2 linked regions of the Lonchura striata genome follow. The protein of the gene in region 2 interacts with the protein of the main gene of each other region in a biochemical or structural test. Links are inferred from orthologs where the notes say so. Each region holds a gene or a part of one and is shown on either strand. Other genes may lie near its edges.

Region 1 (3,905 bases), on a different chromosome or scaffold from region 2:
TTATGGATCAATGACCCTGCATCTAAAGCACAAGGAGAGGGAATATTGACCATTTACATACAGAAGAGAACAGCATGTCCATGCACTCAGCTAAAAATTTTCAAAACACACCCTCATGCCATGACTGTTATCACACAGGATTTTAACTGATCATTCTGAAAATTTTACAGCAAGCTCAGGATTTATAAAAATTAGAAAACATAACAATACTGAATTTGTACAATGAAATCTTTACTACACTTCAGCTTGGTAGATAAAGAGAAGCTGCTCACCAAAATAAAAGTTAGCCATAGCTTAGCTGCAAGTGATTGTGCCTTGGTTGTATTTATTATTCACGAACAAAAAAAAAAACCCCACAGGTAATGTGTACTTGGTTCTTTAAAAATTCCAGCTTCATTAAACTGCAAAAAATCCTGAACTCAGACTTAAGCAAAGAATGTGACTTCAAAGATGAACGACTGTTTTTCAAGTAAGACTCTTCTGAAGTTACACATAAACAAACGGGTCACCAATCACAACTAGATGAGAAAGTTAACCCAAAAATTAAACCTTTCCCTCAGACTACATATAAACAAATCGTGGGAAACCCAGGGGAAAATCTCAGCCATAGCAATAAGCTTAACTGAAATGCTACAGACGGCCCAGTGAAGCAAAAGACACAAGAAACAGCCTTCTGGGTACATTAGGAACAAAAGGAATCCTAGCAGTATTACAAAGTCCATTATTTGACCGAAATTCTTCAGTGTGGAGAATCTAAAAAAAGGAGCACTGTTCAACACATAGCTCTAAGTCCCCAACGGTAAGCATCATGATAAACTTTGTGATAAATATTGTCTATTCCTGTAATAAACAACAGCAGTTAAGGCTAGATATCGGGACACTGGATCCAGCTAAAGCACTCACATCAAGAATGTGTTGCAAGAGACGAAATAATCCAGAACAGAGCCATAAGAAACATTAAGAAAGTAGAAAAGTAAGGCTCACAAAGAAAACCTCTACCTCAAAGTACTAACTTTGGGGACATTCATAGTAAACATTACCCAAATACCATAGCAGAGGGCTTTTCAGTCTAGCCAAGATACAAGAACCACTAGCCTAAATTTAAAAGCAAATAATTTCAGTTAAACAAAATGGCATCTACTTCTAATCCGCTCAGGGGAATTCATTTAACACCACCAGTGGAATTGACTGCCTCGCTGGCAATGTTTAAAGAAAGTAACAAAAGGGTTTCTAAATTATGCATTTTTGCTCCAAGAGGTCTTAATTTAGGGCAGTCCTCTAGTCTACATCACACAGGTTGTTTTAAACAGGGTTTCTCTAAGTACTCACAAGCTTTCTTTTTTTTGGCATGAAATCCTTCTGAAGAAAAACAAAAAACAGACCACTGGTGAAAACCAACAGCACAGCTTTTAAAATTCCCCTCTCACTGCTATGTTTGAGGGAATATTTGTTTTCATGTACCAAGCTTCATAACAAAATCCACTTTTTATTTACACAATGCTTATATGCACTTTGAAATGCTCAATATATTCTCTATGCAAGTCTTATTTTAAGAGTAAGCGGCAGCTATGTCAGCTTGCAGATCAAGGCATCTCAGCCTTCACTATTTTACATGACATTCTACACAGTAAACTTCCCCATCTTTCCATTAACTATCTAACCTACCAAGCAGCTCAGAAATAAAGTGCAAGTACCTACCAGATAACATTCACTACTGCAGACACTCTGAGCCCTTTCAGAAATCCAGAACTGCCTCCATTACATGGTTTACTGAAGTTGATGTTGGTTTCCAGTGCTGCACATCCTGATACAGGGGAGAGCTGAGCATCAGAACGCACCCGAAAACCCAGGCACCCCCAGAGGAGCACACCAGACGTCTTCCCCAACTTTGCCTGCACATACACTGTACTGCTGCTTCATGCTCGCCCCCGCACCGCAACGCCACGGGATGCAAGATAACTCCGGAGCCAGAACTTCATGGCTCGCTGCCTACCGTCAGTCTGTCAGTCCGTCCGCGCTCCGGAACGCCAGCGGTGACAGCGGGCAGGAACTCGCCGGCTCCTCTGGGCGCGCCGGGATTGAACTTCTCGATTCTCCGTTCTGACTGACGAGTCAGACGGATTTTCCTCCGCCCCGAGGCGAGCAAAGCCCCGTGCAGGCTCCCGGCACGGGGTGGAGGAAGGAAAAGGGGAGAGGAGCTCGTCCTCAGAGGGGTCTGACCCCACTGCGGGCCGGGTCGGAGGGCACGCACAGCCCACTTCCAAGGGATGCCACGGCTCTGCCGCCGCCCCCGGCGGGCGATGACCCCCGGCCGCGGGGGCAGCGCCGCCGCCAGACAATGGGGAGGCGGGCGGGCGCGGCCGCCCCACCGCGCCCACCCCGCGGGCGCCGTCCCCGCGGGCCCGGCCCGCCCGCCTCCGCCGGCCGGAGCCGCCCCCGCCCCGGGGCAGCAGCGCCGTCCCGTCCCCGCCGGAGGAGCGCCCGGCCCGCTCCCGGGGGCAGCGGGGGCGGGCGCAGGGCGGGCCGCCGCGGGCGGCGGGGTCACCCTCCCGGCGCCGAGAGCCCCCTCAGCGAGTCCCTACCTGCCGGCGCCGTCCGCCTCGCCCCCTCAGCCCGCGCCGCCGCCCGCCCGCCGCCTGCGCTCACGGCCGCGCCGCCATCTTGCGCTTCACAAACTACTGCACTTCTTTCGGGGCGGGGGGGCGGCGGATGGGCCGGGAGCTCCCAACGCCGCGGCCGCCCGCGCCCTCGCCTCGCCCCGCGGCGCTCACTCGCATCCTCCCGGCGCGGCGCTGTCCCGGGGCGGGAGCGCGGCGAGCGCGGTCGGCGCGGCCGCTGCCTCAGCCGCCCTGGCAGCGAGCGGGGGCGGAGCCGCTCCCGCCGCCCCGCCCGGCAGGCGGCGGACACCGGGCGCGGGGCTGCCCCGGCACCGCAGCGCCGCAGCCCGGGGACACCGGCGCTTCCTCGGCGGCCCGGGGAGGAGCGGGGCCGGCGGGGTGCGAGCTCCCGGGCGGCAGCCGCTCCTCCGCTGGCAAACTTGGGCTCCGCGGTCGGCGCTCCTGCCGCGCCCGGGACGGGCTGTAGGGACGGCATCGCCCCCAGCCCGGGAAGGGTTTTCCTGCCGCTCCCGCCCGGAGCTGCCGCCGTGGGAGGGCACGGCCGCAGGGTCCCGAGACTCAAGCCAGGGCGAGTGAAGACAGAAGTAGCGGCTCTAACGAAAAAAACCTTTCTCACACCTTGGGTTGTTGGGTTTTTTTGTTAGAGAGCTTGGAGAAAGGAGACTCTCTCCTTTTACTACATACAAAAATATTTTAATCAAAGTTGGGTTTAACTCTCACTGCCCAGTTCTCAAAAATGTTGTTTCCCTACACTATTTTTCTTGTCATTTTGTGCTATTTTGGGTCAGACAAAATGTGACGCTTTCCCCAATAAAGTAAAAAGAAAGATGTGACTTGTGAGGAAAACTTAACTGTTCACAGGTGGACACAGAAGATAAAATTTACACAGTTGGGAAGCTTTTTAAAAATCTGCCTAGGTACAGGATCCTGTCGAGCCTAGTGACAGGAATACATTTGCTCAAAACAGAAGTTTTGATCTCAGGAATGTTTCTGGTTCTTCAATTCCATATTGTCAGTTTTCAGAATAGTGCTCTTAGGGGATGCACTCAAGCTGCCTGCCCCAAGTCACATTGAAATTGGTGAGAGCAGACAAGGAGGAGACCAAGTTAAGGACATTAGTTCAGTTATTACATTTCCAATGTCATAAAGTGCATTAAAATGTAATTTTTTTTTCCTTTCTCCTGACCTCCTTTGCTGTGTACTCCATACACTAAGTGGAGAAGAAGCTGATCACATGCAGTTCTTATTTTAAAATCATAGTATTTGTCCTGGTGCCTTAAATGCAAG
Region 2 (3,905 bases):
CCCATGTAACCCATTTCCTACGCACTCTCTCCTCCTGATCCTTGGAGAAGTGGGTGGCCATGGTAACGTGGGGTATGGAGAAGACTCCTGCGGCTGGAAAGATGAGAGAAAAACAATTATTAGGAACCTCAAGCTAGGCAGTAAGAGTGTGTTAGAGGGGGCAAGGCTGAGCCTAACTGATCTTTGACAGCGGGACAACCATGACACCCCTGAACATCCCCAGTCCTGCTGCGCCTACAGGTCCGGCCCGGGAGGAGGCCGCGGCCGCGGGTCACCGCAGCATGAGCACCCCCAGGCTGCCGCCCTCCTCCTCATCACCATTACCACCCTCCTCCTCCTCCTCCTTCCCCTCCCATCCCTCAGGGCCACTCGGCCGCCGCACCCGCGGGGCGCACAGCGATCAACCGGGCCGGGCCCACGGCCTGCGCCACGCCGAGCCTGCCCAGCGCCGCCCACATCGCTCCGGCCGAGCCGCAGGGGCGGCTCCGCCCCACGGCCGCGCCGCCTCCGCCGGCACGGCGGCTCCGCCTCGGGGCGGCATTGGCGGTACCGCCTCAGCCTCGGCGGCTCCGCCTCGCGGGCGAAATGGCGGATGCCCACACGGCGGTATCGCCTCACAGAACACGGCGGTAATGCCGCACACAACATGGCGGCCATGCCCCACACGACACGGCGGCCCCGCCCCACACAACATGGCGGCCGCTCCGCGCGCGCGGGTGGGCGGAACCCCCTCCATGGTCCCGGCCCAGAACATTCCGCACAGGGGGCGGGGCTTAGGGGCGGGACCCGCCCCGCGCATGCTCCCCGCGGCCCCCACGCAGGCGCAGCAGCGCCGGGCAGGGCGAGGCGCGCGGTTGGGTGGCCCCGCCCCCGCCCCCCTCTCCCCCTTTGTCCGCGGTTGGGCGCCATTTTGCGCGGCGGGCGAGTGCGGGCGCTGATTGGACTTGGGGGCCGCGCGGCGGAGCCAATCAGCGCGGGGCGCGGACCGGGCAGCGCGGCACGGTGAGCGCGAGCGGCCAATATGGAGCCCCCGCGCGCCGGGATTGGCGGGGCCGCGGCCACTCAGGGGCTGAGGGGGGAACCGGGGCCGGGCCGGGCCGAGCGGGGCCGCGGCCACTCAGGGGCTGAGGGGGGAACCGGGGCCGGGCCGGGCCGAGCGGGGCCGCGGCCACTCAGGGGCTGAGGGGGGAACCGGGGCCGGGCCGGGCCGAGCGGGGCTGCGGCCACTCAGGGGCTGAGGGGGGAACCGGGGCCGGGCCGGGCCGAGCGGGGCCGCGGCCACTCAGGGGCTGAGGGGGGAACCGGGGCCGAGCGGGGCCGAGCGGGGCTGCGGCCACTCAGGGGCTGAGGGGAGAACCGGGGCCGAGCGGGGCCGAGCGGGGCTGCGGCCACTCAGGGGCTGAGGGGGGAACCGGGGCCGAGCCGGGCCGAGCGGGGTCGCGGCCGCTCGGGGGCTGAGGGGGGAACCGGGGCCGGGAACACCGTGGCTGGCGGGGGCGCGGGGCCGAGCGCCGCAGCGGGGCCGGGCCGGTTCCCCCGGCGGGGCTCCGCCCTCCCCGGGAGCCTCCCCGCCGGTCCGGGCTACCCCGTCCGGTCCCAGATGTGTGGCGGCACGCGGTGCTCCGGTGGCAGGGCCGGCCCTTGGGGGAGCCGCGGGTTCGAGCACACCGGGATGACCCCCGGCTCACCGCTGGCTCCCACCGGCAGCTCCGCGTGTGGTGCCCAGCCCGCCCCCGTGTTAAATCCCGCTCCGGGGCTGTGGGCGTGCGGCTCTGCCCGGTCCGCAGCTCTGGACACGCTCCGAGTGATGCCGCGGAGCTCTCGGGCTGTTGGCGGCACTGGTTTGGTCTTGGTGTGGGTTGGGTGTTGAGGAAGTTGTTCCTGGTGCAGCTATATTTGTATAAATATAAATTATGTGTGTTATATATGTATATGTATAAATATTTGTGTGTATTTTTGGAGTTATCCTGTGCCGGGCCAGGAGTTTGATGATCCTAATAAGTCCTATACAACTCAGCAAATATATATCTATATATCTATCTATATATCTCTTTCTATATATTATATATATCCCTAAATATATATATATATATTTATTTTTATATATATATGGTGTCTATATAAATATCCACTGCTGGGACTGGAACACTCCCTGATTCCCAGAGCATTCCCAGTGAGGAGGAGCTGCCCATGAGCTCACTGAGGGAAGAGCTGTCATCCTCTGCCATTGATTCATCCCTGATCTTTAATATTTAATTTGGCTACTCCGTGTTTAACGAAGGGGATGAGATAATCCCTTGGATGGTGAGGATCCAGCACTGGCAGAACCTTGTCCATATCTTTAGGTTGCTGCTGCAGAGTGTTGGGATTACAGAGTTGTTAAATATTTTACTTAAAAATTTTAATTTAAGGCAGAAATGAAGTACCCACTGTGAAATTGAAATGAGAATCTAGCAGCAGCGTTTTCAGAAAGAGTATTTATCTTCTTTTATTCTGGCTGTGAAAAAGTCTCAGGAAATGGGCAAAGGATGGAACTCAAACAGCAGCAGTAACCACAGCAACGGGTACAGAGAGTCTGTGACTTAATCCTGCCAGCATTCCTTGAAAAATTGAAGCAGCCAGAGGTTTTGTTGCTTTAGACTTGGAAAATTAAAGTTCCAGGCTGTGTTTTCTTTCAGCAGTGCAGCAGGAACTTGTTCAGTCATGGCATAAATCAAACACCTCACTAAAGCAGGAATTCTGCTGTTGTAGGGCCAGTGAGGAGAGAAGTAGTGGCAGGAAAAGTTGTTTTTATTTCAGCACAGTGGGGTTGATGTGTCCAGGGAAAGGGCCAAGGAGTGAGAGGATGGAGGTGCTGGGAAATCTGCTGGTGCTTCCCAAAATACATGAAGGTTGTATTTGAGTATAGAAATACTTCTTTAGAGAAGAAATTCCTCCCTGTGAGGATGGGGAGGCCCTGGGTTAGGAACTGTGGCTGCCCCTGGATCCCTGGAAGTGTCCAAGGCCAGGTTAGATCAACCTGGGGGTGGCACTGGATGATCCTTAATGACCATTCCATGAGAGTAGGAGGAGAGGGAAGAAAAATGAGGAGAGAAGTCTTCACAGCTCTGCTGAATTCTTGAAGTGCAGTTCAATTTCACACCTAAATGTTGCATTTCCTGAGGTTTTCCAGCAGTGACACTCCCCTGTGTGGGCACCTGGCTGCAGCCCAGGATGTGCAGACTCACAGAGCTGGTAGAGTCCACGAAATTGGGCCAGAATTGAGCTGGTTTTGCTGCTCACTCAGCTTGGATGGGCCTGAAATGCCACCTCTGTTTATCACTGAGATGGAGCAGCTCTGGGAGAGCCCTGCCCTGGGGCAGCTCCTGCTTGGCTTGGCTTGGCTTGGAGCTGCTGGGGGACAGTGGGGATGGCCAGGCCTGGGGGCAGCAGCTCCCCTGATTTTTGCTGTCTTGCAGGGCCTGAGGCACCATGGAGCAGTACACAGCCAACAGCAGCAGCTCCACGGAGCAGATCGTGGTGCAGGCGGGGCAGATCCAGCAGCAGGTATGGCATGGGGGAATGGGGGAGCCCTGTGCACCCCACAGTGGGGATAAACCCCAAAGATTTCCTGTAATTCCAAGGAAGTGAGGGTTCTGAGGTCTTCCCTGAGGAGAGGTGGTGCCAGAGCCTGAGCTTGGACAGTGGGACCTTCTCAGCTGGGATTGAAAAGGGACAAGATTGGCACTGAGGGATCCAATTTTTTCTTCACCTGTGAACAAAAGCACAGGGAAACCCAGGAGCCATGTGGATCCAAACAGCAACACATCCCAGTTTGGAAAGAATTGGTTTCAGCAGCACAATCCTGATCCTTCTGGCTACCTGTTGATTTCTGTTACCTGGGCACTGATGGCGCCTGCCTGGAA

What was found.
Region 1: the proteins of NFYA (region 2) and ZHX1 form a complex in vitro, tested with the Homo sapiens proteins (2 studies listed by BioGRID). The link is inferred for Lonchura striata from reciprocal best matches to the Homo sapiens genes NFYA and ZHX1.

The regions. Positions count from the first base shown.
Region 1 is NC_134603.1:12,595,816-12,599,720, reverse strand, and holds the start of ZHX1 (zinc fingers and homeoboxes protein 1), read right to left. Parts: upstream 2,693-3,905; 5' UTR 2,583-2,692; intron 2,234-2,582; exon of another isoform or gene 1,699-2,233; intron 1-1,698. UniProt on the Homo sapiens protein: Acts as a transcriptional repressor. Increases DNMT3B-mediated repressive transcriptional activity when DNMT3B is tethered to DNA. May link molecule between DNMT3B and other co-repressor proteins.
Region 2 is NC_134632.1:3,937,810-3,941,714, reverse strand, and holds the start of NFYA (nuclear transcription factor Y subunit alpha), read left to right. Parts: upstream 1-892; 5' UTR 893-1,002; intron 1,003-3,458; 5' UTR 3,459-3,471; coding exon 3,472-3,546; intron 3,547-3,905. Other genes in the region: ADP-ribose glycohydrolase OARD1, read right to left, coding at 26-93, 383-458. UniProt on the Homo sapiens protein: Component of the sequence-specific heterotrimeric transcription factor (NF-Y) which specifically recognizes a 5'-CCAAT-3' box motif found in the promoters of its target genes.